Linked DNA regions of Alligator mississippiensis. The protein of the gene in region 2 binds, or shares a complex with, the protein of the main gene of each other region. Links are inferred from orthologs where the notes say so. Each region holds a gene or a part of one and is shown on either strand. Other genes may lie near its edges. The genes, in order: KCNIP2, KCND3 and KCNIP1.

What was found.
Region 1: the proteins of KCND3 (region 2) and KCNIP2 are in contact, whole or in part, in a cryo-EM structure (PDB 7W6S), measured with the Homo sapiens proteins. The link is inferred for Alligator mississippiensis from reciprocal best matches to the Homo sapiens genes KCND3 and KCNIP2. Residues at the interface, in NP_001365898.1 of Homo sapiens: Val5, Ala7, Trp8, Leu9, Phe11, Ala12, Arg13, Ala14, Ala15, Ala16, Ile17, Gly18, Trp19, Met20, Pro21, Val22, Ala23, Asn24, Cys25, Pro26, Met27, Pro28, Leu29, Ala30, Pro31, Asp33, Trp54, Arg60; in NP_775283.1 of Homo sapiens: Arg112, Gly113, Phe114, Asn116, Glu117, Cys118, Val123, Phe128, Ile131, Tyr132, Gln134, Phe135, Phe136, Tyr144, Leu148, Phe152, Phe165, Leu169, Ile172, Leu173, Arg180, Trp183, Ala184, Leu187, Tyr188, Met201, Met205, Ile208, Met211, His228.
Region 3: the proteins of KCND3 (region 2) and KCNIP1 are in contact, whole or in part, in a crystal structure (PDB 2NZ0), measured with the Homo sapiens proteins. The link is inferred for Alligator mississippiensis from reciprocal best matches to the Homo sapiens genes KCND3 and KCNIP1. Residues at the interface, in NP_001365898.1 of Homo sapiens: Ala6, Ala7, Trp8, Leu9, Pro10, Phe11, Ala12, Arg13, Ala14, Ala15, Ala16, Ile17, Gly18, Trp19, Pro21, Val22, Pro26, Met27, Pro28, Leu29, Ala30, Pro31, Lys34, Lys36, Arg37, Asp39, Trp54; in NP_001030009.1 of Homo sapiens: Leu67, Arg69, Gly70, Phe71, Glu74, Val80, Phe85, Ile88, Tyr89, Phe92, Phe93, Tyr101, Leu105, Phe109, Phe122, Ala125, Leu126, Leu129, Leu130, Leu138, Trp140, Thr141, Leu144, Tyr145, Ile161, Val162, Ile165, Tyr166, Met168, Met169.

What each region holds. Positions count from the first base shown.
Region 1 is NC_081829.1:100,312,305-100,322,940, forward strand, and holds the start of KCNIP2 (Kv channel-interacting protein 2), read right to left. Parts: upstream 4,848-10,636; 5' UTR 3,644-4,847; coding exon 3,196-3,643; intron 1,641-3,195; exon of another isoform or gene 370-1,640; coding exon of another isoform or gene 264-369; intron 1-263. UniProt on the Homo sapiens protein: Regulatory subunit of Kv4/D (Shal)-type voltage-gated rapidly inactivating A-type potassium channels. Modulates channel density, inactivation kinetics and rate of recovery from inactivation in a calcium-dependent and isoform-specific manner.
Region 2 is NC_081837.1:44,250,020-44,259,767, reverse strand, and holds the start of KCND3 (potassium voltage-gated channel subfamily D member 3), read left to right. Parts: upstream 1-4,875; 5' UTR 4,876-4,942; coding exon 4,943-6,051; intron 6,052-9,748. UniProt on the Homo sapiens protein: Pore-forming (alpha) subunit of voltage-gated A-type potassium channels that mediates transmembrane potassium transport in excitable membranes, in brain and heart. In cardiomyocytes, may generate the transient outward potassium current I(To).
Region 3 is NC_081832.1:48,528,088-48,538,186, forward strand, and holds the start of KCNIP1 (Kv channel-interacting protein 1), read right to left. Parts: upstream 4,411-10,099; 5' UTR 4,077-4,410; coding exon 3,968-4,076; intron 3,682-3,967; exon of another isoform or gene 3,498-3,681; intron 1-3,497. UniProt on the Homo sapiens protein: Regulatory subunit of Kv4/D (Shal)-type voltage-gated rapidly inactivating A-type potassium channels. Regulates channel density, inactivation kinetics and rate of recovery from inactivation in a calcium-dependent and isoform-specific manner.

The DNA.
Region 1 (10,636 bases), on a different chromosome or scaffold from region 2:
GCACACGCGTGCACACACACAGAGCACCCGCACCCCTTGCCCCAGCAATATACACGTCCCACACGTGCACACCCCCATGCCACACACACCTGTCCCACTTGCACACATCCTCTCCACGCCTGCACACCTGCAGCAGGGCCATGCCAGGCCGGTGGGGCAGGACGTCTCGGGCGGGATGCACACACACACACGCACGCACACTTGGAGCCCCGTGCCCCCTGGCTGTGCCAGCCCCAGAGCTGCGGGCGCCGGAGCCGCGGTACCTTCCAGCAGGACGACGGGCTCAAAGAGGCCAAACTGCTCGAGGACCTTGACGAAGAGCGCGAGGACGACCAGCACCGCCACCATCTCCAGCCCCTCCAGGTTCATGGTGGGTGCCACTCATGGCCCCGCTCCGGGGGGGGTCCCAGGCCAGCCCCGGCCCCCCCCCACGCCAGGGGTCGCGGTGCCGCCGGTGCCAGGGGCCGGAGCAGCCCGGGGCGTGCGAGCGCGGCGGCGCCCAGGCAGGACTGCGGGGGGGCTGCGGCGGGGCTGGGCTGGGGAACGGGGGGGGGACGGAGCCGGCCCTCCCCGACCAATGACACCACCTCCATCGATCTGCTCCACTGGTTGCCAAGGGAACGGGCCCAGGAGGCCGAGGAGCCGTGCGGGGGGGCGAGGGGCACGGGGGACCCCCCAGCAGCAGCCTGGAGGGAGCCCAGGGGTCCCCGAGCCCCGCTGGGGGTCACCTGGGCACCCAGCCCCCCGGGGACAGGCCTCCCCCTCCCACAGCAGGGAGCAGGGGCAAGGGCAGGGAGTGAGGGGCCTGCGGGGCGCCAGCGGGGCGCGGCTGCTCCCCCCATCCCCGCACCAGGCCCGGGGGGGCTTCCATGATCTAGTTCTGCCCAGGGGGAAATTGAGGCAAGGAAGGGGGCAGCCAGGAAGGACCCCAGGAGTCCAGGGCTTCGAGCCAAGCCCGGTGCTCTCCCCGCCAGGCCGTGGCACCCGAGACGGGCGAGGCCGACGGGCCCAGGGAGCGGCTGGGGGCAGCAGGGCCCTCACTCCCGCCCCGCAGCCCCCCTCAGCCCAGCCCCTCCAGCCACAGATCCTCGCTGCCACCCCTAGAGCACCCCCACGGGCCCACGTGGCACTGGGGGGGCGTCCAGGGGCTCGAGGGCCCCCACTCTCCCCAGCCCCTACACCCGGGTCTACCTTGCCCCAGCTGCCTCAGTTTCCCCACTGCCGCCCTGGCAGCTCCAGCATAGGAGGTGCAGAGGTTTTGCACCCAGAGCTGTCCCTGCGCCCTGCCCCAGGGGGGAAACTGAGGCACAGAAGGGGGAAGCCAGTCCCCGGGGGCCCTGGCGCGGCTGGGGAAGGAGCCCAGGAGCCCGGGGCCTCCAGCCAGGCCGGCAGCTGAGGCACAAGACGGCCCGGTGGGCTCAGGCGAGGCTCGGGGGGTGCGGGCTGGCGAGGGCAGAGCTCAGGAGACCAGAGGAGCCGGGCTGGCAGGTCCAGAGACCCCCCCAGCCAACCCCCGGGTGCGGGTCGGGAGTGAGGGGTGCCAGCAGGGCTGGGGGGCCGTAGGCCCACCCCTACCCTTACTCCAACTGGGGGGGTCGCACAGGGGCCCTGAACACAGTGCGATGGCACCCCTCCTGCCCGCCCCTCCCCACAGCACCCCCAGCCTGGCGCATCCACCCCAGCACGTGTTAACTCTGGAGACTAATGACGACCGCGGCGAGTTCTGCCTCGCCCCAAGGCCACCCCGACCTCTGCCACCCCCCACCTGGCGCCGGCACTGCCCCAGCTGCCCCCGTCGCCCTTCATCTGCCCCTTCCAAGCCCCGGCCCCCCAGCTCCCCCCGCCGCGCACACGCTATCGAGCTCGGATCTGGGTCGGGCCCAGGGAGGCCGGTACTGGAGGCCGCAGGCACGGGCAGAGGGGGCGGAGGGGCACGTTCCCATCCGCGACGGACATGTGGAGCAAGGGCAGGCCACCGAGAGGCCCCGGGCGAGTGCAGACCCCGTGCGTGTGCAAGGCCGCGCGTGTGCAAGGCCCTACCCTCGATGCCACTGATGATCTTGAAGCAGCGCGTGGTGAACCAGTAGGAGATGAGCAGCAGGATGACGATGAGCGCGGCGTAGAGCAGGCTGTCGTTGTGGGGCACCGGCCTGTCCATGGCCCCCGGCCCGGCCGCCGCCTGCCCCCCGCTCGGGCCGCGCGCGGGAGCCTGGGAGCGAGGCGGGCACCAGCTCCCCAACCAATTACCATCCTGCCAGCGTGTGCCGGCACCTATTAATAGCTGCCGGGGCCCGGGGGGCCGCCTGGCATGGGGGGCGGGGGAGCCGCGGGCCCCCAGCCAGGATGGGGCATCTGGGTCCCGGGGGCAGGTTGGAGCAGCCTCGAGGCTGCTCTAAACTGTGCAGGATGCCCAGCGGAGATGGGCGAGGCAGGGGTTGAGCACCACAGTGCCAGGAAGGGGAAGCTCGCAGCAGGTCCCATCCTGCTCCCCAGCTCTGGGAGGGGGGCAGGGAGCATGCGTCTGTGGCCCCCATACCGCCCCCATGCCAGGAAGCTCAGGGCTCCAGGCCGAGCGGCTCCGACCCCGCGCACGGAGCTGTACGCTGCACCGGGGGTGGGGGCTGGAAGGACGGGAGGCCACCCCCGCCTGCCGCAGCCCGGAGCGGGGCAGCGGTCCCAAGAAGGACCCGCCAGCCGGTCGGTAAAGCCAGCAGCACCGCGAGCCCCCCCGGCACGGGGCAGCCCTGGGGGGACCCTCCGGCAATCGGCACAAGAGCCTAGGATGCCCAGCGCCCCGGGTCGCGGGCGTGACCTTGGCACGGGGCTGACTGATCGGGTGCCCGCACTGGGCCCCATCCATTAGAGAGATAAATTTAGGCCAGCGCCGAGCCCCCCCGCGCAGAGCGGGTTATTAATCAGCGCGCGAAGAGCCGGCCAGGCGCTATTTTGGGGCGGTGAAGTCACCGCTGCGCTGGGTAATGGAAGGCGAGGCTCTTGCCCCGGGGCCGCATCCTGCTAACGCCCGCACTGGGCAGGGCCCGGACCCGCAGCCACCCGCGGGCGACCAAACCGGAGCCTGGGGGTGCCGAGAAAGCCCCAGCGCCCTGAGTCACGGGATGAGGAGACCCCCGTGCTTTCCCCACCTCCTCTGTGGCCCCCAGCCCTGCCCGCCGGGAGACCTGGGGTGGTGCCTACCTGGGGAGAGGGTCCCGGTGAGGAAGCGGTACAAGCCACGCACGGCCCGGCCCAGCTGCCTCTTGCAGCGTGGCCGGCAGGGGTCCAGGGCACCGGGGCAGGACCCCGTGGCCCCCCAGGAGCTCAGGGCACGGCCCAGGTGCCTGCTGGGCACCGGCATCTTCCTCCTCCTCCGGAGCCAAAGGTCCCCGGGCATCGGTGCGGGGCCAGGCCTGGCACTAGGAAGGCGTCTGTGCCCGCTGCAAGGGGCTGGAGGAGCCGGAGAGCACGCGCGAGGCCCTGGGCAGGCGGCTGCCAGGGGAGTGATGCCCGCCGAGACCCTGTGCCACCCCTCTCCGGTTGGCATGGCAACGCCTGGACCCACAGGTCCCACTGACCAATCAGGCGCTGCTGCCTCCCAGGCAGGAGGAACGATGCTGGGGCTGGGCTGGGTGGATGGGGGGCACATGCCCCATATGGGTGCCAAGGGGCAGGGGTACAGAGCACCCTCCCGCCCCCCAGATGGGGGTCCTTGCCCCCCACCACCCCTGACATGCTCTTCCCAGGCAGCATCACCTAAGGGGTGGGGGAGGCCCCCAGCGCCAGGGGCTGCAGCTCGGTAATCACGGCTGCTCGTTACAGGCAGTGCGGGGCAGGCACGGGGCGTCCTCCCGTCACCAGGGGCACGGACATGCCCAGCCCGAGGGCCCCGGGCTCGATGCCCCCGGTCTGGCCTGGCACGCTCCGGGCCACGGCTGGCACACGTGTGCTTGGTATGTGCACACACGGAGGCAGCAGCGCCTCCTTTCGTGCATGTTCAAGGTGCCCCGGGGCGACGCGCCAGGAGCTGCGCTGTCCTGGAGTCACAGAGGCGGGTGCCCACGTGCCCTGGGGAGGCCGGCGGCATTTCGGGGACCTCCTGGCTCCCCTCCGAGCCATGGAAGGGAACAGCTGGCGCTGGGCCACAGCGCCCAGAGGCCACCGCCACGGGCACGTTAGAACCAGGGCTGAGCCTTCCCCCCTTACTGCCACGGGGCGTTGAGTCTGAAGCCTAAGGATGACAAGCGCTGGGGGGCGGCTCTCCTGCCCCACAGAGGGGATTCCCAGGTGCCCAAGGCCCGTGTAGGGCAGCAGGCTGGCCGGCGCTGCCCCCCAGGCAGGGCGAAGCAGGCACAGCCCCACCTGCCGCCACGCTCCAGAGGAATCTGAGCCGCGGAGCCGGGTGTCACCGCGCCGGGCGCTGTACATGTGCAACAGGGCATGGTCCTGACGCCATGGGGACTCCCGACACGGCCTGCCATGTGTGCCAAGGGCACACTCAGGCATCAGCCCTTGTTATGGGCAGCGCACAGCATTGCCCTGTGGGCGGTGGGCAGGCAGACCCCAGGCTTTCCCCCTGCCCAGCATGCTAGCATGGGTGGGGAGGGGGCACAGCCCCCCTGCAGCACCGCTCCAGCCTGCCGGTGCCCCCTGGCCCCAGCACCCCGGTACGGCTCCCGGGCAGTGCCCCGCTCCGGCCGGGCACAGACTCACCCCGTGGCCCCCGGGGGCAGCCGCTGCCTCCTCTTCCGCGGGTCCCCTGGGCAGCAGCATCCTCTGCTCAGCCCATGCCGAGGCCAAGGATGGGGCTGGGGCAACCTGCACCGCCTGCCCCCGGGCACAGAGCATCCCCCCGCCCCGGCCCCAGCCCCGCACTGCCAGGTCCTCCATCTCCCAGCCCCTTCCCCAGCATCCCTCGCTGCAGCCCAGCCCCCCCCCCCCTCCACGGGCGACTACAGCCCCCACGATGCCTTGCACGGGGGTGGAGCTCCGGGACAGGAGAGCGGTGGAGCCGGCTGCTGCCTGCCTCAGTTTCCCCACCTGGTGAAGGGGAAGCAGGGGTGGGGGGGACGGGACACAACTCATTCTCCTGCCTCCTGCTTGCTCATGTGCCCCAGACCCCAGCAGGAGCCCCCCAACCCCAACCCCAACCCCTCAATCTCTGCCAGCCCAAAGCCCTGGCACGGAGCTGGGTCCCCATGGAGCAGAGCCATGGGCACCGCGGACCCCCCTGCCAATGTGCCACAAAGCCCAGATGCTCCCTGGCCAGGGCAAACTGGGCTGCAGGAACTAAAGGAGAATCACCACCAGCAGGCAGCTGTATAGGGCCTAGGACACAGGGGCAGCTCGGACCCAGGCGGCCTGGCCCCCGGCTCTGGCAGCCTCAGCCGGGGGTCTCGGGCCGGGCCCGTGCCCTGGTGCCATCCAGCCTGGCGCTGGCACCTGGTGCCCTTGGCCCGAGCGGCCACACGAGGGAGCCCCAGCCCCGCAAAAAGCAGTGCAGGGTGAGCCGGGGACACGCGGGCCCTTCGCACACGCGTGTGCACTGGTGTGCACAGACCCCTGTTGCTGCCCCTGCCACGTGCAGCCTCGCAGCGCCTGCACGGGACGGGGGAGCTGGGGGGAGATCTCAGCCCAGACCAGCGCCCGGGCCCCGCCGGCTGAGCACGGCGCACTCTCCACACCCACGCCAAGGGACCCGTCCTGCCCCAGATCCAGCCCCACACACAGGCCCCCCCCCAGACGGGGCCAGGCAGGGACCATGCGGCTGCCTCTGGGGAGGATCCAAGCTGCAGGCCGACGGACGGCCAACAGGAACAGGGGCAGAACTGGAGGGAACTCGCCGCAGGCTCCGGGGTGTGTTAACGAGGCCGGGGCACATGGGGTGACCTGTCCCCTCTCCACAAGGCGGGGGAAGCACTGATGGGGAAACTGAGGCACACACAGGGGAGGGGACTCTTGCAAGCCACACGAGGAAGTCCCGGCCCTGAGGCCACACCGGCTTCTGCTGCCCACCACGGGCCCGGCAGGGGCAGGGGGCTGCCGTGACCTGGTGGAAGCACAGGGCCGAGGTGAGATCCCCTGGCACATGTACCCGATGCGCCCTCCCGCAGGGCACGTCCGGCTCTCGGGGCAAACCCGCTCTCCCAGCTCCGCTCGCTCCTGCTAATGCCCTCGTTAAAAGTGCATGAGAGAGAGGGGTGCCCGGGGCCAGCGGCGCTACCCGTGCCAGGGAGACATGGGCAAAAGCTCCCGGCGCCTGGTGCGAAGGACGCTGTATCGCCCCACCGCCGGCCTGGCCCGGGCACCAGGTCACCCCCAGGGGAGGTTGATTTGCATGCACACGTCCACACAGCGCCAACAAACATCCCCCCGCTATTGCACCAGGCCTGCAACACACCAGGGGCACGTGTGCACACGCACCAGGTAGAAAACACAGCCCCCCCCCTGCCAGTAGCACACGTGCACACATGTACACCCTTCCCCCTGCACACGCCAAGCAGGGACAATCCAGCCCTTCCCTCCACAGCTCATGTGTGCATGCACACACGTGTGCACCTGAACACGCTGCGTCCATGCCCCCCGCATCCCCACTGCGGCCCCCTCCATGCACACGCACTCCTGGGCCAGCCCAGCCACTGCACGGGGACCCAGGAGACCCCCGTGGTGATTAACTCCCGCTAATGAAGCGCTAATGGCTCGCTTTCCGCAGCAATTTAATTAAGCAGCAACACAGCTCGGCTCCTGGCTCCTCCTGCCCAGGTGCGGGTGTGATTAAGGCTGCCCGGCCGCCCCAGCTGTGGGGGGCTCGGGAGGCCCCCACCAGCCTGGCACGGGGCTGAGCCCTCGTGCCCAAAGCCCAGGGTCGCCGCGGACCTCCAGCCAGGACACGTCTGCGTGTGCAGCCACAGCAACCCCCACCCCCACGGCAGACTCCAAAGGAGCTAAAGGAGAATCACTACCAGGTCAGCAATATAGGGCCTATGGCATGCAGGAGGGCAGCTCCAGTTCCAACCAACAGAGGGCAGCATGTGCAGGTTCACTTAGAAACCCACTTTACAGTTGGGGAAAACTGAGGCCCAGAATGGCCAGCCTTTCCCCTCCTCCTTAAATCCTCTCACTCAAAGCCCAGGCCGCTTAGGGTCTGATCCCCGGCTCTTGTAAGACCCGGCTACAAGAAATTCACCCCAACAGCCAGAGCCAGACCAGGGGTGCCAGCCCCACCTCTCCTGACCAGGGTGGGGCTGGCTGCAAGTGTCACAGGCCCTATACACCAGCAGCTCAGGGGATTCCCAGACACCCTGCTCCCCCCACCGCAGAACGTAGCCCCCCGAGGTGCCCAGACCCACGGCCCGGTTTCCCCCGGAGGAAGCGCACAGGACACAGTAGCTAGATGGGGCATGTCTGGGGGCTGCGAGCTGCCCAGGCCCCCGGGCATCCTGTCCCAGCGCAGTGGGGCCAAGGCGTGTGCCGGCACCGGGCAGGGAGCTGCTGCAGCCGCTCGCTCCATTGCTGTCCGCTCACCTCAGGCCCATCCATCAGCGCTGCCAGCCTCTGCCCTCGCCCATACTCCCATGCCCGCACACGTGTGTGTACATGGGCACTCACACCCGTATGCCCCCCCTTGCAGCGCAGTGTATACTCACACGTGTGCATACACACCTGTGCATACACGAGTGCCCATACATGTGCACACACACCTGGGGGCACATGCGAGAAGGGCAACTACTGTAGTGCCTCGCATACAACACGCTTGCACTACGCCCAGAGCTGCGATTTTGGCAGGAAAAGGCTTCTCCTGAGCTGCCAGTCACCAAGCAGCGGCCCGGCAGCCAGGCAGCGGGGTCTGGGAGCTGCTCTTACCGTATTTCCCTGACTAGAACGTGCAGCTGCCCCTTTCCCGGCCCACCAGAGCTCCTTGTTCAGCACCAGAAGACAGCACCTGCCAGCGCTGGGGTGGCTTTTGCCGGTCTCCCACGACCCGCCTGGCATCGGGGAGAGTTAAACCCACCCAGGGAGCTCAGGAGGCAGCATGCCCCCCCTTGCCCCTGCTCGCACTGGGGACCCCAGTGGAAAGGAGCCCAGCCTGCATCTCCCCAGGCAGCTGCCGACAGCTGGACGCCCAGGTTGGCTCAGCTCCAGCCCAGCCACTTCCCCTAATGAATCCGCCGCTAACGAGAGGAGCCAACTGGGGGGTTTGGGAGCCGCTCACCCAAGGGACGTCTCCTCCTGCCTCCTTCGCAACGCCCCTCTGCGGCCCCCTCCCCAAGCCCCCAAAGGGGGCATCCTGGAGGAGCCCTGGGCTGGACGGGGACCAGGGCCTGGGGCTGCGAGGGGCTGGAGGCTGCAGCCCGAGCACAGCCAGGCCTCCAGGCCGGGGTCTCTGGAGGCCAGGGGGGTCCTATCAGCCCCCCCCCCCAGCAAAGTCCTGGAGCCTGTGACATGTGCACGAGTGCAGCCACAGGAGGGACCAGCACAGGCCCCAGAGCCCCCGGGACAGAGCCGGACACCTGGAGACAGGAAGCATCAGCCTCAAACCTCCCGGGCACTGCCAGCCCCAGCCCCCCCACGCTGCCCTGAACCCCCTTTGTTTGGAGCAAGCCAGGACAGCAAAGCGGGCGCGGGGAGGGGGGAAACACGGTGCAGGGCATGGGAGGGGGGGGGCAGGGAGGCCACCCCCACCGGGGCAGGGAAGGACCCAGTCTGCCCTGGAGGAGCAGGGCCCGTGCCCAGCTGGGGTGGGGTTTTGCACCCCGCAAGGCTGGGGGGAGCTGGGCAGCCTGGGACGGGACCACGCGCCCTGAGCGGGGCATTAGCTTCCCACGGGGACCCAGGAGGATGCCGGGGGAGGGGGGGGTTAGGGGAGGGTTGCAGGGTCCCAAGGGTACAGGGGTGGAGACACCCACTTAGGGGAGCATGGTGGGGGGCTCACAACCTGGAGCCACCGGCCCCCCAGCGTGGTCTGCAGCCCCCCGTGCAGGGGGAGAGCCAGCCCCAGGGCAATTTGCAGGGGGGGCATTGGCTGCAGCTGATCCAGCCGGCGCCCCCACCCCCAGGAGGCAGCAGCAGGGCATGTGGGGCCCGATGCCACTTGCACATACAAGCATACACACCCTGCACCATGTGCACACACAGCCTGGGTGGGAACACGCACATGCACGCCTCCAGCATGCCACGATGCACACGCACCACTGAGCCCAGCACCCCACCACACACACACGGTGTCATATGCACACACAACTGCCTCCAGGGGAATGTGCACACGCACACCTCCAACACCGCATGATGCACAAGCACCACTGCGCCCAGTGCCCTGACACACATGCACACGCACACACAGGTGCACGTGGAGACCTGCTCCCCCAACACCAGCCGCATGAACACACACATGCCGTGTGAACACACTTCCAGCACCCCGTGATGAACAAACACCATGGCATGCAACACCCTGCCACACACACACACACGTGCGTGCGCGCCCCCCCCGCCAAGCACACGCACATACACCTGCACAATCACCGGTGGTACAAATGCACACGCATCACATCCACACACTTCTAGCTCCCCACAACGCACAAACACTGCATCATCCAAGCCTGCCCGCCTAGCACACACCCCCACCCACCGCCCCCCCATGAACACGCACCAGACACAACCACACGCCACACTGCCGCACACGCTGCCCGCCTACACCTGCTCCGTCACTGCCAGCAAGCAGCAGCGCTGCTTTGCAAGCACCTTTCGGCTCAGGGAACACCCCCTGGGACGCACCCCCCCAACCCCAGCCTCTCCCAGAGGGGGAAACTGAGGCATGGGGCTGCACTCTCCCAGGGCAAGGCGGTGGCCCACTGCAGCCCCCCGCCCCTGCTCAACAAAAGCAGCTGCCCTAGATTTGGGGCTCCTTCCAGTGCCCCCCCCCCCCCCCCCCCGCCTTGCACACGGCTGCAGCACGGGGAAATCCAGCTGTGTTAACCCCCGCAGTGCTGGAAAGGCACCGCACACGCATGTCGGTGCTGCCACCGTGAAGGCAGAGCCCTGAGCCTGGGGCCACAGCACACATGGGGCACACACAGGGCCGGCCTGCTCCACCCTGGCAGTGCCCAGTGCACATGCCAAGAACACACAGAAGGCACACACCACGGATTAACCCTGTCCCTGCCACGCATGGGGCGGGCTCGGCAACGAGAGGAGCTGTGGAGGCTGCAGCTGCTGGGAGGTCCCGGGTCCCCGGGGCAGGGGCAGGTCTTGCAGTGACCCCCCAGCCCCCACGGCATGGGGCAGCAGGGCCGGGGGCCGTGACGGGAGCTGCTCTGGTGCCCAGCAAGGCCCTGGCAGTCCCAGGAGGCTTCTACTTCTTGCTCACGTCAGCAAAGTATCCCCGATTAATTCCCCCCTGCGGCACGGCAGCCATAGCAGAGGGAATTGCCGCCTCGCACACTCGCTGGGCACACGCCTGTGGGGCCCTGGGCAGGCCCCACACGCACCAAGCATGTGCTCACACCCCCCCAGTGTATGCTTACACACACACCCACAGAGCACAGGCTTGCATGTACACAGAAGTGCACACACGTAGACACAGAGCCCATGCTCACACACACCCAGGACACACACGCACCCCCCCAGAGAGCACATGCTCACATGT
Region 2 (9,748 bases):
GGGCTCCGGGCTCCGGGCTCCGGGCGCGGGTCCGCGCGCTGCTCCCGCCGCCGCGCGAGGTAAGCAGCGCCCGGCTCTGCTCTGCTCTGCCCGCGGCCGGGGCCGGGGCCGGGGCCGGGGCCGGGGCTGCCCGGGGCCGGCGGGGCAAGCAGGCAGCGCTGAAGTCCCGCGGCAGACTCCGTGCCGCACCCCTCCCCCCGCCACATTAGCATGCAGGGTAAGGGCTGGGGTGTATTTAATGCCTGCGCTGGCGGGTGTCTCCGTGGCAGTGCACGCCGCCTCGCTGCAGCCCGCCGGCCGGCACTGGGCGCGGGGCGCGGGGCGCGGGGCCGAGGGAGCGAGCGCGCAGGCAGCCCCCGCGGGCGCCCAGCCTGCCCCGGCAGCCGGAGCGGGGCTGGAGGGCGGGGAAGCGCCGTCACGGACCAGCCTGCCAGGGAGAGACTCAGCCAGGCTCAGCAAGAAGAAGGAGCCGCTCTTGAGTCATCGACTTTGCCCGCGCTGGCTGCATTGCTCCTTGCTCCTGCCTGAGCTGAGGCGGGGAGTGGAGGGACAGGCAGGCAGGGCAGCCCAGCCTTTCCCACCCGCCCCCCAGCCCCGAGCCCCGAGCCCGTCCCTGCCCGCCGGCGCGAGCAGCTCTTTCCTGGCCAGGTAAGGCACGGCGGGGCCCCGGCGAGCGGGGCTCTCCTGCTGGTCTGGGCACCGAGGGAGGGGAGAAGTTTGCATGCGTTTCTACGAAGCCTGTTGCTGCGGCTGCCCGTGCTCCTGGTCCAGAGCTCGCACTGACTCATCAGCTGGCAACATTTGGGCAGCTTTTAGGATGTGCTGGGGCGGCGAGAGGACGGGAGTCTGGGCTGGGATGCAGGTGCTGAGGCTCGGACTGGCAGGTTTCGCTTTTCGATGCAAAGGGTTTTTGTCTGACCCACATCAAGATGAAAAGGGGAAAGACACACAGCTCCCCTCTCCGCCCAGCTACCAGCTCTCATTAGCGAGTCGCATGATGTTTACCAGCCTTTTTTATTATTCTTATTATTATGATTATTATTGCTAAGTTATCCTTGTCTGCTTCCAGAATGGAAAGCACCGTGTGATTCAGGGTGTTTCTAACTAGAGGACGTTACAAGAGGCATCTAGGCAGACTGACATCTCTGGCAGAAGTTAATGTGATGCAAATCCATCATGTATATCCTGAGCCTCTGAGTGAATGCACATAAATATATGTTCGCAGAAGTTTCTCTCCAGTGCATTATTGATCCTGCCGTGCATGTTGGTTTTGTGCGTTGAAATAGGAATCAAATCATTGCCAAGCAAAGCAAGTGCAGGTCAAGGACCTGAGATGGATAGACAAAGAAATGGATGGAGAATTCCTTAAGGAATTGGGAAAATTGAAAAAAAAGGCTTTGCTTTCAGTTTTGTTGACAGCGGTGTGGTGGCATGGTCCTTACCTCCGGAAAACACGGTCTGTTTGCTTCCTTGCTGTTGACATTTGGTTAAGTCAAAAAGCCAAATCCTTTTATCTTGTACACAAGCTCTTCTAAATACCATCAGCAGGCTGCTGATCCTTTGCTAACTAGTTTCTGCCAAATTATGCATGGGAATTAGCCAAGTAACATTTGAAATAAGGATGTGTCTGAATGTGTGTGTGTGTGTGTGTGTGTGTGTGTGTGTGTGTGTGTGTGCCCTTTCACTATAACACACAGCGCAGGTTGTGCTAAATATTTCTACCCTGCCAGCTGCTTGACACAGTAAGAAAGGAATTATTAATGTTACCCTCTGATCCCCGACTCAGTTTGCAGCAAGACGAGGTGGCTAATCAATGAAATAGTTGCATGTCCTATCACCCTAGACTTGAAGGGCACAATTCACAGGCATAGATGCAACCTCTTTTTCTCCCGCCCCCTCATTTCTCATGGACTGAAGACCTGTGAAAAGAAGCCGTCCCTAATGATAACGATATTCAGTTTTCCTTCCTCCTGTTACTACCCGGTCCTCACATACTGATACGCTCCAAAAATCCGAGCACCGAACAACTCTCACGTGTTAATCTTTCAAAATGGCTCTAACACTGAGTATTGGAGAAACAAATGGGACTAGATTACAACAGATTTAATGAAACTTTAAAAATTAAGCCTCTAGCACATACAGAAGGAACTTTTCTGAACTTCAGCCACATCTCTTCAGGCCACAGAGACTTGTAACTGAATAATACACTTTTATGGACAGCCTATGTAACCATCTCTCTCTCTTTTCATTTATTTATTTATTTATTTATTTTGTGGCCATTTTAGAGCTTACATGTTTAATTTTTTTTTCCCACATATGCTGTCAGTCTGGAAAGACCTTTTTATCTTAAAAATGGTCTTAAAATTGGCAAGACATTTATGAGTTACCAGTCTCTTATTTGAAACAGGTTTATAAGGAGCATTTGTAGTGTGCCTGACAGCAGTGAAGTGAGCTAGAATTTGGAGTCAGGGCTCTATGAAGTTCGAGTTGGACTTGGAATAAGATTCCTGGGACAGGTTTTGAGAGAAATAGAGGATCCCAATCGCTGTTACCGAGCAGAACCAGCGATGTACCACCCATTTCCAACCAATCCCCAGAGGATAGCACCAGTGTCCATAAAGCAAAACAGGGGACTGAGTGGCTTTGTGCATCAGTGACTGAATGCATAGCCTAGATGCCTTGGTCCTAAATCTACATTCAGGTTGGGTGGGTAACAAATGAAGTTAATGGCATTTTTTGCATTGGTGATGGCCACCCTTTCACTTCTCCACTGCCCAGTGAAAGGTGGCACTTTTGTTGGCTGGTTCTGTCTAGTCCCTATAGGGTCTCTCTTCAGCTAAGGATCGAAGCATATTTTTCCAAGTGGCATGGAGAAGTTTAAGCTGCTGTCATTTGCTGTTCTAGAGCTGTCAGTCTGGCATCTTTCAAGAGCCATCTTTAAACTAAGGGAACCATATAATGCATAGTGATCTCGAATAAACCTGCATGGTAAAATACCATGGGGTCAGGATTCTGCAGCTAGGGAAAATCAGAGAGATGCATCACAATGGGCTGTTGCATATATCATCATTACGAAACCTCTTATTGCAATGGTTGGAGGGTTGCATCAGGACAATTGACAAAACTTCACAGCGAGATGCTTCATACTATCAATATGATGAGTGATAATGCATAATACCCAGGGAGAGCACCATTTTGAGAACAGTTCACTAAAAGGTTTCACCACAGATTCATTCTGCTATCTTTCATTCAGTGTCTTGTGGCCTATTAAGATCAATAGTGCTATAGCACCAGCGATTGGAACGGTGCTGTTCATACAATTAAGATACGTCACGGTGAAATTATGTAGAGAGATGTTAGGTAGTTCAAGCAGTGAGGTTTCCAGCCTTATCCAGTGAAGCCAAAGGCAATCCTTCTATTGACTTAATGGACTTTGGATAGTCCACAGAATATCTTACTCAAATAATTGGACAGTAATTAAAATACAAAGGGAGTGAATGAAAACTAAGGTTAATAAGGTGAAAGGTCTGACTGAAGACCCAATGGAACAAGGAAATGCGGGTCTGCTGTAAATCAGAGTCACCGCATTGATTTTAGCAGAGCTAACCCAGTTTAAACCAGCTGAGGAGCCTCGGAGCTGTGGACATTTTTCTTTCTTTAGATGGGCCTCTAAGTATGGCAATGATAACAGGCTTGTTCCTTCACTTATTCAAGGACTTTTGCCTTTGTTAGTGAGGAAGCAATCAAGATAATCCTCGCAGGCTGGTAGCCGACCCTGTTAAAGTTTGATGTTTTACCTGTTTTGGTCTGGCATGGTTTAGATTTTGAGTGGGCGCGTCTACGTGTTCATTAACGCACATTAAGTTTAGTACTTGGTTAACCAGGTACTAACTAAATGCACAATAATTCACGCTACCGTGCAGTAGCGCTGGCTCATGGTTTTTCTGTGACACTTACTGCGCAGTAGCTTAATAACACTGCACAGTAGCATATTTTATTCTATATTGGCACGGTTTTTCACCGGCATGCTACTGCGCAGTGTTATTAGGCTACAGCACAGCAAGCGTCTCGTGTAGCCTGACACTACGCAGCGTGCCCATCTTACACACATGCACACGCTCACCATGCAGACTACCGAAGCTCAGGACTTCTGGGCAAAGCTGTCATGCCCTGAAGAGACCGATTTTTCCTCTTGCCCACTGGAATGGTGCAATATTTCACTGTAGTAAAACTTGTCTCAAGGAACTACCCAGGGGACCAGCAAAAAAAGCTGTTGCCTAGCAGAGGTTTTTAACTAAAGGTTGAGCAAAACTGTACTGCAAACCCTGGAAGATTTCAGAGTCAGTCTTTGATGCGAGCTACCAATGGGCAGTCTGTAGTGCTAGCTTCGCCGCATTCAGAGCTTGCTTTTTATGAGAAGTCCAACTGGGTCCATTTTAGGTCTTCGGCCACAAGCGTTTCCCCTGGTAAACTGCCAGTGGATTTCACCAGAGTTTCCAGCTCTTTCTTGACAGCTGTAGTCAGAACGATAAATGCATAAAGCTTACACCTGTGGAATTATGGATTCGTCTTGTTTGTAAGGAAGCAAATATAAATTAGCGTGTTTATGCTACTTTTAAATACTTTTAATGAGGAATCATTTGCCATTCAAAACTTCCATCTATGATAATGCTATAACCTTCCCTTGTTGATTATCATGCATATCTTTTAATAGTCATTCTTCTAAGCGGGGGCTAGCACAAATTAGCTCCTCTGTTGCTGTGGATTCCCTCAAAGATATTTATCCAGATAGTTTTAGCAGTCCCTGGGCAAGACAGCCCCAGCTGACCTCCTGCTATATTTTTATTTTATTTCATTTGTAGATGGAAATGATTTGACTTCAAACGGGGCCTAAAAGCAGCAGAACTGTCTTCTCCGATAACAAGGAAGGCCTCGAGCCATCATGGCAGCAGGCGTGGCAGCATGGCTGCCTTTTGCCAGGGCGGCCGCCATAGGATGGATGCCAGTGGCCAACTGCCCCATGCCACTGGCCCCCACGGATAAAAACAAGAGGCAGGACGAGCTGATCATCCTGAACGTGAGCGGGCGGCGCTTCCAGACCTGGAGGACTACCCTGGAGAGATACCCGGACACTCTTCTGGGCAGCACCGAGAAGGAGTTCTTCTTCAACGAAGACACTAAGGAATATTTTTTTGACCGGGACCCTGAAGTCTTTAGGTGCATCTTAAATTTTTACAGAACTGGCAAGCTGCACTACCCGCGATATGAGTGCATCTCTGCCTATGACGAGGAGCTCGCCTTCTACGGGATCCTACCTGAAATCATTGGGGACTGCTGCTACGAAGAGTACAAAGATAGGAAGCGGGAAAATGCCGAGCGGCTGATGGATGACAACGACTCGGAGAACAACCAAGAAGGGTCCATGCCATCCCTCAACTTCCGGGAGACCATGTGGCGAGCCTTCGAAAACCCCCATACCAGCACCTTAGCCTTAGTCTTTTACTATGTCACCGGCTTCTTTATTGCCGTCTCTGTGATCACTAATGTGGTAGAAACCGTCCCCTGTGGCACGGTGCCGGGGAACAAGGAGCTTCCATGTGGGGAGAGGTACGCTGTGGCTTTCTTCTGCTTGGACACAGCTTGCGTTATGATATTCACCGTCGAGTATCTTTTGAGACTCTTCGCGGCCCCGAGTCGCTACAGGTTCATGAGGAGCGTGATGAGCATCATTGACGTGGTGGCCATCATGCCCTACTATATTGGCTTGGTGATGACCGATAATGAGGATGTCAGCGGAGCCTTTGTGACGCTACGGGTTTTCAGGGTTTTCAGGATTTTCAAGTTCTCCCGCCATTCGCAAGGCTTACGAATCTTGGGCTACACTCTGAAGAGCTGTGCCTCTGAACTTGGCTTTCTCCTCTTTTCCCTCACTATGGCAATCATCATCTTTGCTACAGTGATGTTTTATGCAGAGAAAGGATCCTCAGCTAGCAAATTCACCAGCATCCCAGCTTCCTTTTGGTACACTATTGTAACCATGACAACTCTTGGGTAAGTGTTGCATTTTCTTTTATTAGGCCGTAGACAAACACGTGCTAGTTGCGGAAGTTTGGTTACTTTTTGAGGGTAAGTCTTTGTTTTTCTCTTAATAGTATGTGTTGCTAGGGGCTTTAGGACTGTTACAGGCCTGTTTCTCCTCTGCCTGGCACTTCTGCGGGCATTTACACCTATGCAAAGTGGTCACAAAACATCAAGTTTTGCAAAACAGTTTGCAAACGCTTGACACAACTGTGAGCGAGTGCAGGAGAAGCAAGGCCGTAGAGATGCAGGCCCTGCCATAATGGCCTGGTAGCATTGCACCTGCTTTGCATTCAGTGTTCAGACATGGAAATGGTGGCACACGGCACAAAGCAGTGGAAGGGCAGGACTTCTGGTTCTTTTCAGACGTATTTAACCAACCTATTACTCAGATACAAAATCACTGAAGTCATTGCTTAGTTTTGTATCTTCAGCCTTTACTGTAAATGATTTGACAGCTTGGCGTGCGGGTACCGGAGGCTTGCTGAATTCAAGCAGATATTGCGGCCAGTTGCCTTAGTGCAGGTATTTCCTGAATTACAGGACAGGCTTTGCTTGTTGTTATCTGAACGGGAAATAGCCCTTTTTGCTGTGTTTACCTGGGAGTTACAGAAGTTGCAGTAGTAATGGCAGTAATCTGTAGCCATTACAGTAATGTGCGAAAAGCTCATATGGACAGGTGCAAATAAACGGCATAATCACAAGCAGGGGAAACACAGCCTGGAGGACTCTCTCTCCCCCCCGATATTTCATTTCTCTCCCGTTGACATTACAGCTGTTTCTGCAAAGATTATAGATGTGTGTTTCTGTCACGCAGGACTGAAACCTTCCTGAAAGAAAACAGACTAGCCAAACACTCGCTGTGACAGGCTTGTACCAAGTAGAGTAATCTTCAGAGGTTGTAGCTGCAGGCGCTTAAAGTTGCACAGTCTAATGCAATCTCTTCATTCCATAATTCATAATCATGTGCTAAATTTTAATTTACTTTGCAAAGAGCTTTCCTGCTGAGGAGCTCAATGAGTTTTATATTTGATCTCAGATGAGTCTCTCCTTTTCCTGTTTCCTGTTTTAAATACTTCCCTTTACCTATTAGGCATAAAAAGGCAGACAAAAGAACTTTTAAAATATTCAAATTGTAACTCAGCTGTCAAGAAGTGGCAGAGTGTGGGCCTGTGACAGCTGTACGTTTTGGATTTCTTTGGCAAATAAGAGCATAAAGCATATCTGCCATGAGAACCGAAGGAGATGATAATTTCCCTAGCCTTGAATATGCCCGCAGTCTGGCCAAAACCTGCAAACTTGGATGACTAAAGTTAGGCTCCTCCACCCCGATCGGAGTATTTCGGTAGCAGTGGCCTGCTCTACTTGCAGCTCCTGAGTTTAAAATGTCGACTTTCTGCAACTTCCAGACTCGGACTCCACGATCTCATCGCCACCGTGTCCGAGCAGCTCCCAGTAGTGCATTAAGCAATGTGACTAATATCTGTCACATTTGTTCTCTCCTGCTCTCCCCAAGGGGAGGAATGAGCAGTGGAGTGTTTCTTCTTGGGTTTGTTTAAGGCTCTGAACACACGCGCAGGTTGCTGCACGGTTGAGTTAGAGAAGGGAAGGCCCAGGAAAACACTAGGTAGGCATTAGGCAACCAAAGAAATCTAGTCTAGGCTGAAGTTTACTTACTAGCCCACTTAGCTGAATGAAACGGCCTCTTGCTTGTAGTACCTTTTCTTTCTGCATGTTTTGATAGAGAAAAAAAACAGACCGGTCCTGAGTACTTTAAAGCGTTCTCAATCTATGGCAATCATAGGCATTATACTTGAATGAGTGCTTTAAACAGGTTGACAAGAATAAAATAATTACAGGCATTGAAACAGGACCTTGTAAGATATAGCTGGAACAAAATCTATTTAAGCAATGGTAGCCATCTGCAAAATATGACTGATGCGATGAAGCATGAACATTCACCTTCATTGTTTTGGGGAGAAGGGAGATGATAATTAAAATACTTTGCCTTAGCACATAGCATGTTTGCTGCACTGCCGTGATGGGGCTGTTTTTATAGAGTTGTGTCGTTTGAGACATGCAAAGCGTCGTTTGGTAAGAGAGCAAAGACAGAATCCTGGGCTTGCTTACTCACCCTCCCTCTCTCTCCTCATCTCATTTATAACATGCCTGATTGCCTGTCACTTTGGTCTAAGAACCGAGACCTGTTGCTCTGCAATTGTTTGCTCCAATCACATGCTAGAAAAGCCATTACTGCAAGGTACAAGAAAGAGCAACTTTCATCAAAGACAGGTTCCTCCGCCCCCTCCTCCCAGATGGGCGTGTGCCAGACACAACCATTGCAACCCATAAGTGAATGCACTTACACAAGAGTTAAGGCTTTGCAGACTCCCTGCTGGATCGGCCTCAGAAAAAACACCTTGGCGTGTCCAGCTGAGCATGCACGTGTGGTATGTGACCCGTCTGTGGTGCTGCCCACTGCACACGCCGCACATGCAGTGCTCCCTGTGCCGTGGGGTTTGGACACCAGCAGATCCTGGTGTCAAAAAAACTTATGCCTATAAAAAGTGGGGTGGTACACATGGTGGCAGTGCATGCCGCCCAAAACTAGAGCCTGGCTCCAGCTGCCAGCCAGGCTCCTTGCTGCCGAATCGTCGTGGCTGCAGCCCCCAGACACCCCCAGGATCCCAGGTAAGGCTGCTGGGGCCATCCCAGGTGTTGACCCCAGCCTCCCCTACCCCACCCAAGGCAACATGCCCCACACCGGAGCATGCATGTATGAGCTTTCCCCAGGGACAAGTAGCAGCAGCAGCAGCACATATTGTGCCACTATTGCTTGTCCGCGGGGAAATGCATGTACCTGCTCATGGGGACGTGCTCCTTGATGGCTGAAGAGCTGCTGTTTAGGGCATAGTTCAAGTCCCAGCTGTGGTGATCAGTGTATATATAACAAAGGGCAGCGATGGGACAGGGTGCCATGAACAAGTTCCCACTGCTCTGTGGCCGGGGGGGGCCCAAACAACAGTCGCTACTCCCACGTGGATGCAATTATACAAACATTCGGGAAAAATACGTAGAAACAAATCATTTGGATTCAATTCATTTCTACCTTTCCCATTGAAATACTGACTGAGATTACATGATGCAGGTGGTTAATGGAGCCAAAGTCAGTTAACAGGAAAGGGACAAGGTTTAAAATAAAGGGGAAGAGGCCGTCTCAGCATCCCATTTCCTGCTAAAAGCAAGAGCCTGAATTTAGGCACCTGTATCCATTCAAAGCCCAGGTGTGCAAACCTTATCCGTCTGTTGTGAACCCCAGTTGTGCTCCGCTGTGCAACTGGGACGCGACATCCTTCGTTTGTTCATAGACATGAGCACGTTCTGGTAGAAAAGAGGAGCTTTGAGGAAACTACAGGTCTGCTCCCGGGGGTGCAAGGAGACTCTGGTTTCTAGGTAGGAGATAAATGTCATTGATTGAGCTGGAGGGATGCTGATGGATGTACAGTGCATGCAGCTTTTCTAATTTGTCTCTGTCTGTCAGAGGCACGGTGCACTTCGGCCCTACTCTCACCTGGTCCGTAGAGAGGGGACGCTGTTCCTCTGGAGGATCTACCTACACAGATGTGAGCGTTCAATAAGCTGGCTATGCTAGATTTAAGATTGGAAGACT
Region 3 (10,099 bases), on a different chromosome or scaffold from region 2:
ATTATCTAATCTAGGGTTGTCCAACTTCTAAGCAGCCCAGGGCTACATGCCATATAAACCACAAGTTGTGGCCTGCAGATGGACCTGAGTGCTGACCTGAACATCTCTGGATTAGGGTAACAACAATTTGAATAGCTTTGGGCCAGACTGGTTCCCCTGTTGAGTATGTCAGGAAAACATATCTAGGATCTAATTATTTTGGAAGACTACTAAAATACTTGCCACGATGTCATACAATAATACATTCCACATTGGCTGCCTATACATGTGCTTGAGGATAGGGGTGGAGTGTTTTAATTAGAGCGGTTCCCAGACAGCAGCTCCAATTAAAATGGCCCACCATCATGTAAATGAAGCCCCTGCTCATTTTAAAATGGCTGCGGGGCACTTTATCTAAAGGTCTATCTAGAGCTCATAGAATAAGTGCCCCTGCAGCCATTTTAAAATGCGCAGGGGCTTAATACAGGTGATGGTAAGGTGACAATGGAGTATTCTAATTAAAATGTAAATGAGCACATCTATAGGCACCCAGTATTTACAGCTTACTGTAATATACAGAAAAGTGACAGCTGCTACTTTTAATAATGAGGGCTTGAAAGGGGAAACCTATTCACCTAACAAGAAATCTCTGTTCATAATCTACAATTTTGTCTTGTGAAAAAATTGATCACAGCTACCAAAGACAGCCAACCACGATGCTAAAAAATTAAATCTCTGACTCACCATATTCAGATAGTACATTTAAAAAGTACCGACTTTTCAGTATTTGACATCCTGGCAGTGAGATTATGCTGATAGCTCCCCAAAAGCACATATCATATTTGATTTGGATCCCTTTAATTTAGAAAAAATAAAATTTATCAGCACTTCAAGGATAGCCAAATGATTGATGCATGCTTCAGCAAAAGAAGCAGAGCTAGAGCCAATCTCATAAACAGACCCATCACAGCCCTTGATTTATGGGGAAGGTCCTTGATCCTTCCTTCTACAGGCATAGATTCCCATAAAATTTCACAAAATGTTTTCTTGAACGCCTTTTAATGTGAATCATTAATTATGACTGTATCCCTATACCTCACTTAGAAGCAAATCATTGACTTTTATTCATTCTTTCTGGATTTGATTGTGGGCAGCCCTTGATGAGCAGCAACGTAAGAAGGTAGGGAACCAATGGAGCAACACTGGGCTGTCAAAGTGCACAAGGGGCATAGTAACCAAAGAGTTCAGGGATAACACAAAACAAATTGCAATTCATCTCACTATTATCCCACAAACTGCTTTACTTTTGCAGAAAAAGTTGCTATAGCAAATAATTTCATTGCCTTTTCACTAAGCAAAATGGATCTGTTTATAATTAAAACAAAATGAATACCTTTTTCAAGGAAGTGTGATTTTTTAGGGACTACTCACTGTAGGAGAATTTAGGGAGATCAGGACCTGTAGATCTCCCATCCTTCCTATTCAGGTTGGAACACAAGAACTCCAAAGCCAACCTCTGTATTCCCTTTGTTTAAGGTTTCATTAATGAAGTTTCATACAAGTGTAGGAATTGCTCAGACTTTACACTAAAAGCATATAATGAGCTAAGCCTTTTTAGCTCCCTGCATCTGCACCAAAATTACATTCACTTCAGTCAATCCTAGCATGGATGCATCTGCATGAGATCATTACATGGTCCAAAGCAGCACAAATAAGCAGGTTGTAAATAAGCATGTTTTACCTGCAGGAGATAGTATAATGCTAATTCTAAAAGTAACTAAGAGCACAACCAATTTCAGATAATAGGGAACTACCCTAATTTGCTTAAACAGTGCAGTTTCTGATTGTAGCATTATACACAAGCAAGCAGCACATGGAAGTGCTTACATCCTGTAAAACAAGAACAGTGAACATAAAGACAAGTTAGAAATATTTTTGCTGCAATGTACATTCATACGCCTCTGCCATTGTTGCCACCAGCAGGTCAAAGAACAGGTGTAACCCTACCCTTAAAGATCTCTATGAGCTAGAAGTCTGCAACTTTAGTCACCCTACACATACATTATAGCAGGAATAAGGAGCCAAGAGTCATGCAATTCCATAATGGTCTAATGCATTTTTTGGCCTGGATGTTTTTTGTAGGAAAAAAAAAAACAGTTGCAATTGATCAAAGTTGCAAAGAGTTTAGTTTAGTTCATAATGCCCTTATATACTGTGAGGTGGCCTATTAGACTGTCAAGGTGTTATAACATTAAAATGATCACTGCAAAGTGAGACTACACTGCTATATTCAGCACCCAAATGAGTTGAATGACCCTTGTTGCATGTTGGTTAAAAATCTGAATCTAGGTTTTGTTTAGTGAGAGCAATTTACCAACAACTGTTTGATCATTAAAGTATCAATATTCAGTAGGAAAAAACATTGGTACTTATTTAAAAATCACTTTACTTTTGAATAAATAACTTTTGCATCTCTCCATCATTTGCCTTGGCTGGAGAAACATTGTGCAAGCTGTTCTGGGTAATCTGTAAGGAAGTTGGAATAACATTAAGTAGCTCTGTAGAGCATGGGTAAAAATGTCTTTAAAGTTAAAGAAGTAGTGTTGCAGCTGCCTCAGCATTTGATTGTACATTTTTTTGCATTGTGTTTTATTAGGTAAGTTTATCCATGCTGATATAATTTTAAATGAACAATTATTGGTTGGTAAGTTTATTCAATATAGCTGTCATTAGAATTTGGTTATATAATGATAAACTAAATGTATCCATTCTAATAGGAAAAATGAACATTAATGTAAGTTACTCCATATAAAAGATTAAATATTTGACCCTAATATTATTTGTTTCTATAAGCCACATTTTTATATTGTACTGTTAATGAACATTATCTACTTACATGGTTGCATTATAGGGCTGTAGGTTTGCACATATGAGGTTAAAACTGTTTTTCCTTGTTCCCAACACAATTCAATAAAAGATGAAACTTGGAGTTAAGTAAAATACTAATGAATGTATTACCTTCATTTTCATTAAGTATTCTTTCTGCCAGTTTTATGTAACATATTTCAAAGGTAACCTCTGTGTCAAGAAACTGCTGTCTTTAAACTGATTTTATTTTATACTGCTCCTATGTTACCAAAACTTGGTACCTTTATGATCTACACAGGAATGAACTTCTAGGCATCTTAAAATGACTACTTGTTTCTTAGTTTTTTCTTTAAAAAAAATGATGTGCTTGATATAGAAGTTGATTTTCTTAGTGAGCTTCACATGTGGACAAGTGTCACTGTTTGGGCAGAAAATACTGATAACCTAAGTTAACTTAATTAAAATGTGTTCACTCCCATTACATACAAGAAAAGAAATGAAAAAAAAAACTAAGGAAACAGAGATCTTTATTGAATTTAAAAGATGATGAGAGATCAAATGCCCCAGAATAATTCTTCAAATCAGAAATATGTGTTCATTTGTTATGTTTACTTTGGTTTCTCTGAAGTATGTAGAATAAAAATACTTACAGAAAAGTTTCCTTTGTGTTAGACACAGTCAAAAGATTTATTTTCTTCAGGTCTTTAAACTGCAAGTGTCACAATAGTATTGTTTTTAGGGAATCATATGGAACCACTGATCTAATTATTAGCAGTGCTTCTATTATCCCAAGACAGACTTTTTGTTCCCAGGTAGGGACCGATTTATTTCATGCTGTGAAACAAAATTAATAATTAGCTAAAAGAAAAATAGCACTTATGGCAAAAATCCTAACTTACAATTCCCCTCAGCTGTGATAAGTCCAAAAGCTAACAAAAGCCTTTAAAACAAACCACAGAGCATAACTCTAGCACCGCTCACTATATCACTTAAAATATGAAGATGATGATGAGAAATCAGAGTATGGAAAAGATGACGCTTTACTTCCTTCAGCCTATCTGCTACTATATTGACTTAAATAAAGGTAAATAGAAGATAGAAAGCTTGGAGGTTCTCTTACCATCTGACAAATCAATTAGCCCAAGGTAGTGCAAAAGTTTCAGAGAGGAGCACACCACCACCACAATCCCCAAAGTCTGAAGCCCCTCCGACTCTCCTTCATTCCACATCCTTTAAGGCACCACACAGATACCACTGGCGTGCTAGGAAAACAACTGGCAGACATCTAAAGCTGGGAATTCATCTGTTTCAAGCTTTCCTTCCTGCTGCTCAGCTAAGTATTGCTCATTTTCTCTTTCTCTCTCTCTCCCTCCCTCCCTTTCCCTGTGAATGTGTGCATTTCTCACCCTCTCCCCCTATTTCTATTTCTCCTTTCTCCCTCCCTCTCTCTGTTCCTTCATGCAAACAATTTCTGCATTTAACAGTAATCTATGGTTTTAGTTTCTGCCTCTCCAGGGCAGTTCTCCCAAGAGTTTACTCTGAACCTGAACAATTTAACACTGCGGAGGTAACCTCAGTGATATCTCATGTAATTATTTTTTCTGTGTAACCAACAGTGAATTTCTCCATTTGTGTCTGTCTGTCTGCCTTGCATCACTGTCAACACAGATGCGTTTTGCAAATGCTTTCTCTGCACCACACACAAAGTAAAAAGAAAGTTTCATGGGGAGGACATGTAAAGAAAACTTATCTGTCTCTCCCACTTCCCCTCATTCTTAATGTTGCCTTAAGGCATTGTAAGTATCACACGGACAGTTTGGGTTATATTTAATAATTTTAAATATATTTAATGCTTGTTTAATACCGGTCTCATCATAAATTACCATAGAAATATGCCCCTTCAGAATAACTACCAATTAAACCAAAATAACATGTCAATGTGTTGCTAGAATCAATATATGCTGGGGTGGATCTGGGAGTGGGGGAGAGGTGAAGGCAAGGTGTTATGGTGGTACCAGTGAACACCCCTTTGATTCCTGGTCTAGCCAAACTTTAAAACCAACTGTCTGGCAGTGGCAGCAGCATTTCTATTTAGGCAGCAGTGAGGGAGGGAATCAATTGAATTTATGGTTTATTATAATCTACCTGATTCCTTGTTAACTCTTCATTCCTCAGTTAACAACCCTCTCCACTTTTTAAAGGTGTTATATTCCACTAATTTAGCTACGCGTTCTTTTGTAGTTCTGCTGTCTGTTAGCTGCACTTAGGCACAAAGCTCATATTTCACAGCCTTGCAGACCCCTTTTACCTCTAGCTAAAACCATTAGCTCAAGTGTGCAACTTACTTCCAGTGAAGCATTGGATACACTGCCGAGATGCTCAAGAAGATTTTATTTCACGAATATGAGAAGACATATACATTTCATTCTATTGACTGCAGGACTAATAAAACAACATCTTGCCTAGTGTGTTTTTTTAAAATATGTAATTAATACATGTTCTAATAAAGTTATATTTGTTTTTGCTTTGATCTTAAACTGAATAATATAGCCTAGGCCCTGCAATATTAGTAAAGATTTTTGTTTCTTTTTAACATGACAAAAATGTGCTGTGTTAAATGTGATGGCACAGCACACCATCTGGACCCCACTTATAAAAATCCTAGATCCATCCATGTGTATATGGACCAAAGTACCAGATGGGTACACAATGTACTTACCCTATGTGCAAAATACAACAAGATATCAGGGACCCAACCTCTGGCTTCAAGAGGGCAATTGTCTTTATCTTGTTTACAGGCCTAATATCACAGGATAACAACTCATTATTGCAATGTTTCTCTGAGTATTTTTTTCCCCCAAAAGCTAGTATCACTCCCCTTTTATTCAGTGGGAGAGTAGATGAGTAAATTGTGCCTGGGGCATTGCCACTGTCCCTGGTTGAACCAGGGACTGGGGGCTCCAGAGCCACCCCTGCCCTGCTCCAGCTAGACTGGCTGTGGAGCCAGGGTCACCTATTAACACCAGTGGCAGCAGTTGGGTTCCCTTCCCTTGCACCAGATCCCAGGCCAGCAGGGAACACCAAGAGACTGGGCAGGGGCAGGTCTGGAGCTCCCCTCCTGCCTCTGGGACAGCCAGAGACAGCAGCAGCAGGTAGGGGGAGGGGTGGGAGGGAGAGGAGAGAATGTGCAGCTGAACATGGAGGGGAAGGGAGGATTCTTGCTTGCTGTGGAGGGTTAAAAAGAGTCTACATCTGCTGTTTCTGCAGCATGGTCAACTGGGAGGGGTACGTATTTGTGTCACTGTGCCCCACTTGGACCTGGCCCTGGATATACAGGGGGGCTTGACCCCTGCCCCTTGCCATCTGTCAACCCCCGCCACAAACCTCTTGCCCCATGGCTGTTCCTCCCCACCACTTCTGCCCCATGAACAACCTCTAGTCTCCCTTCTCTCTCTCTCCCCGCCCCCCTGCAGCCTCTGGCCCCCGCCCCTCCTCTTCACTTACACTTGCTCCAGCTCTGGCAGGCTCCACCCCTAAGCATGTGTTTACTCCTGTCCCATCCCAGCCCCATAACAACAGGAGCAGTGACAGCTCTGGGGCCTGGTCAAAACTGCTACCACCACCGCTATGGGGTGGTGCTGGGGCCAAAACAAATGTGTGCTCCATTCCCCAGGCTGGAATGTGAATGGAGCCCGCCAGACCCAGAGCAAGGGTAAGCAGAAGGGGTTGGGGCCCGAGTCTGTGTGGGACTAGTGGGTCCAAGGCTGTAGGGGAGTCAGGGAGGGGGGTAGCAAAGATAGTGGGAGGGCAGCTAGTAGCTGTGGCTCTGACCTTGACCCTGGGTTGGGGCTGGTGCCGGAGCTGTAGCAGCCATCTACCACCCTACTTCCTCATGCCCAATTCCAAGATGAGGGACTCGTCACCCCATGTTAAAGGGGGAAAAAAATCTCACCTTGGATTTGAGTAAAAACGGTATTTCAATTAAACATCCAAGTGGAAACAGAACAAAAACTGGTTTATCTTTAATCACTATACGTATTGACGCAAAGAAAACTTTTAACTTTCTCCCCCCACCTTCTTAAATTGCAAAGAAGAAGAAAAAGAGGTGGCTTTTTTTCTTTTTCTCTACTGGAAACACAGGCAGGCAGTTCAAGAATTAGTGTGTATTGGGAGATCTAGGTCCTACTTTCAGCTCTGATAATGACTTTATTCTTGATCATGTAACTATCTGCATTAGTTTTCCATTAGTATCAAGGGGATAAAAATAGTCACTACTAGCACCTTACTGAGTTGGGAGCCTGTTGGTCTAATAAAAGATATCAAATTCACCCAAGGAACCTTGTCTGCCTATGTCCTTAGACCAACACGGCTACAACCTAAACCCCTGTTAATATGTTTAAAGCACTTCAAGTTTCTAAGAAAGAAGCCATATTGGAAATGTGAAGTACTGTTAAGAATTGAAGCTACCCAAGCTATTAGTTATGAACAAAATATTGACTGAACTTGATCTTGTTTCTCTATATAGATGGGTCATGAAACTACTGTGATTTCTGCAAATTAATGATCTATAACTGTTCAATCTCTCTCTCTCCCTTTGTCTTTCTCCAGTGAATACAGAATGAGGCCCAATCTGATTTAAGAATATATTTAAACTAAAGGGTTTAATTCACTATTGGTAGCATCAGTCCCATTAGGCGTTCAATATCTGGTTTGTGTTATTGGTTATTATATCCCATGTTATGAAGCTATTTCTTGAATAGATGACCTTGGCTTTTTCTACTGATTCTACTGAATCAAAACATTTATCTTGTCCTGTACAGTTTTGTACAAAAATAATATTTTATTTGGCTATGATTGTGGAGCACATTTTAAAATAGCAGGTTACTTTCTATTTGAGGAAGAGAGGAAGATGTTGGGTAGATTTATTACCTGTCTAGTGGCCTTTGCACTCCCTTTTCTCTTGTCACTTTCCCACCAGGTAATTGAGTGTTGTTTGGGTACAACAGTCAAGAATGTGAATGTGTTTACTTGCTCACAGACACACTAGATTACACACAACTATACTTACTCACATAAGTGACCTGCATTAGCACAAGGAAAGATGCATCTCACTCATATTCACAGAACTAATCTTCCAACTTTAACAGAAAAGTGAAGAAAAGATTATGAAGTGCTAGTTTGAACTGTACTAGGTTTAGCTAACATGATCTTGAATTAATATGTCCTGTGCCGTGGTCATGAGAGCTCATATGCATTGGTGGAACTGAAACATACATGATCTATAAAACCAATTTAAAAAAATAATCATTTTAATATGGTACATTTATAGTAAAAAGGTATTGAACAAAACTGACCAAGACTTTTTCCACAGAAAAGATAACTATTCCTGTCCATTAATAAATACATGAAAATTCTAGTCTCTTCATGGACAAAGGACCAAAAAAGGTAAACATTTTTGTTTACATTATTCCTTACGATTTATTCACCCTGCTTATATGGTATGCATAGTCAGCATACAGTTCTTTGGAATAGTTTATTCTCCATCTCTTCCTTAGTTAGTAACCCTGTGGCATGTGAACCCAATTAAAATTGGCCTAATTTACATCTGGATTAAGAATATGGATAATTGGGATTATTAGACATTTTACCCGGGAAAAACAGGAAAATGTAGGTTCTCCTGATGGTACCACCTATTATAATTGTGTTATGAATCTCACACTACGTAATGGATGACTTAAAGTCCCAGTTCCTAAAGATTTGTGACTGCAATTCACATTCTAATTAACCCTCCCACCTAACCCAAAAAATCACACCCATGATTACAGAGAAAAGTTTGAAATTGTGATCCTAGTATAATGTAAGAACTCAAAATATAATACACTTCAATAAAAATTATTCAAAATATATTGTTTCTCATGATTTCTAAATCTATTTTATGGGTTTTAGGGCCTTGATTCACAGTTTATGCATTTTTGGGGTTTGCCAATCTTAGATTCCCTCAGAAAGTTTTCTCCAGGTAACACTGCTTGGGGGAGGTGGGGGGGGGGCGGAAGGAACATAATTTTCCCCACTTTTCCCATAACCCCAGAGGTCTGGATCATCTGGAGTCATGGGTGGATCCATAATTTTGGAACTGGAGGTGCCGGATCAGCAACATGTGCTGTGGGGGTAGCTGCACTGGCTCCCCCTGCCCTCCCACTCCTTCTCACCCCCCAGATATGAGGGCAGGCAGATTGTACCATAGGAGCAGCAACAAAGAATTAAGTCCTTGAAGCAGATAAGAATCTTTCCTCCCTAATCCCTTCCCTTCCACACTCTATTGCATGTTCCTTCCCCTCCTCTCCCATTCAGTCCCTCACCTGCCTGCTACTGCTGCTGCTGTCCACAGATGACCTGTAGACAAGTGTGGGGGGGCTCCAGAGCTGCTTCTGTCCTGTGACAGCAGGCTGCACATAAAGCCAGGCCTGGCTAGTGACTGCCTTGGCAGTAGCAGTGGCAGTCTCAGGTTCCTTTCCTCAGAGTCTGCTCCCGAGCTGTCCAGGAACATTGATTGAACTAGGCAGGGAGGAGTGACCCACCAGCAAGGTTCCCTCTAAGGTGTGCACATGTGTGGCCGCTCACAACTAAAAGTGTGGCCATACACAGCCTTTTCAAGGCTGTGCACCAGGAGAGGCTGGGGCAGGGGGCTGGCGTGGGCTCCCTGGCTCCAGGGAAGTGCTCCGCTCCCCCGCATCAGGGCCAGGCAGTGGAGCACTTCCCTGGAGCCGTTGGAGCCCGCGCCAGCACCCCACCCCAGCCTCCATCCCTGCCTTGCCTCACCTTGGGGAGGACCTGGGGCCGGGGCCGGGGAGCAGAGCAGTGTCCCGGAGCTGGCGAAGCCTCATTCGGGGCAGGCAGCAGCTCCTGCCCGAGGTGAGGCAACACAAGGATGGAGGCTGCTGTGGGCAGCTGGCACGAGCTCCACCGACTCCGGGGAAATGCTCCACTGCCCAGCCCTGATGCAGAGGAGTGGAGCACTTCCCTGGAGCTGGGGAGCCCATGTCAGGCTCTGGCTCCAGCCCCTGGCCCCTGGCCTCAGTCCCTGGCCCCTGGATCCCAGGTCCAGCCCCTGGCCTCTGGCTCCCGGCCTCTGGCCCCAGGCCCTGGCCCCTGGCCCCTGGCCCCTGGCCCCCGGCCTCAGCCTCCAGCCACCCCCTCCCCCCCCAGCTCCAGCCCCTGACCCCAGGCTCCAGCCCCTGGCCCCAGCCTCCAG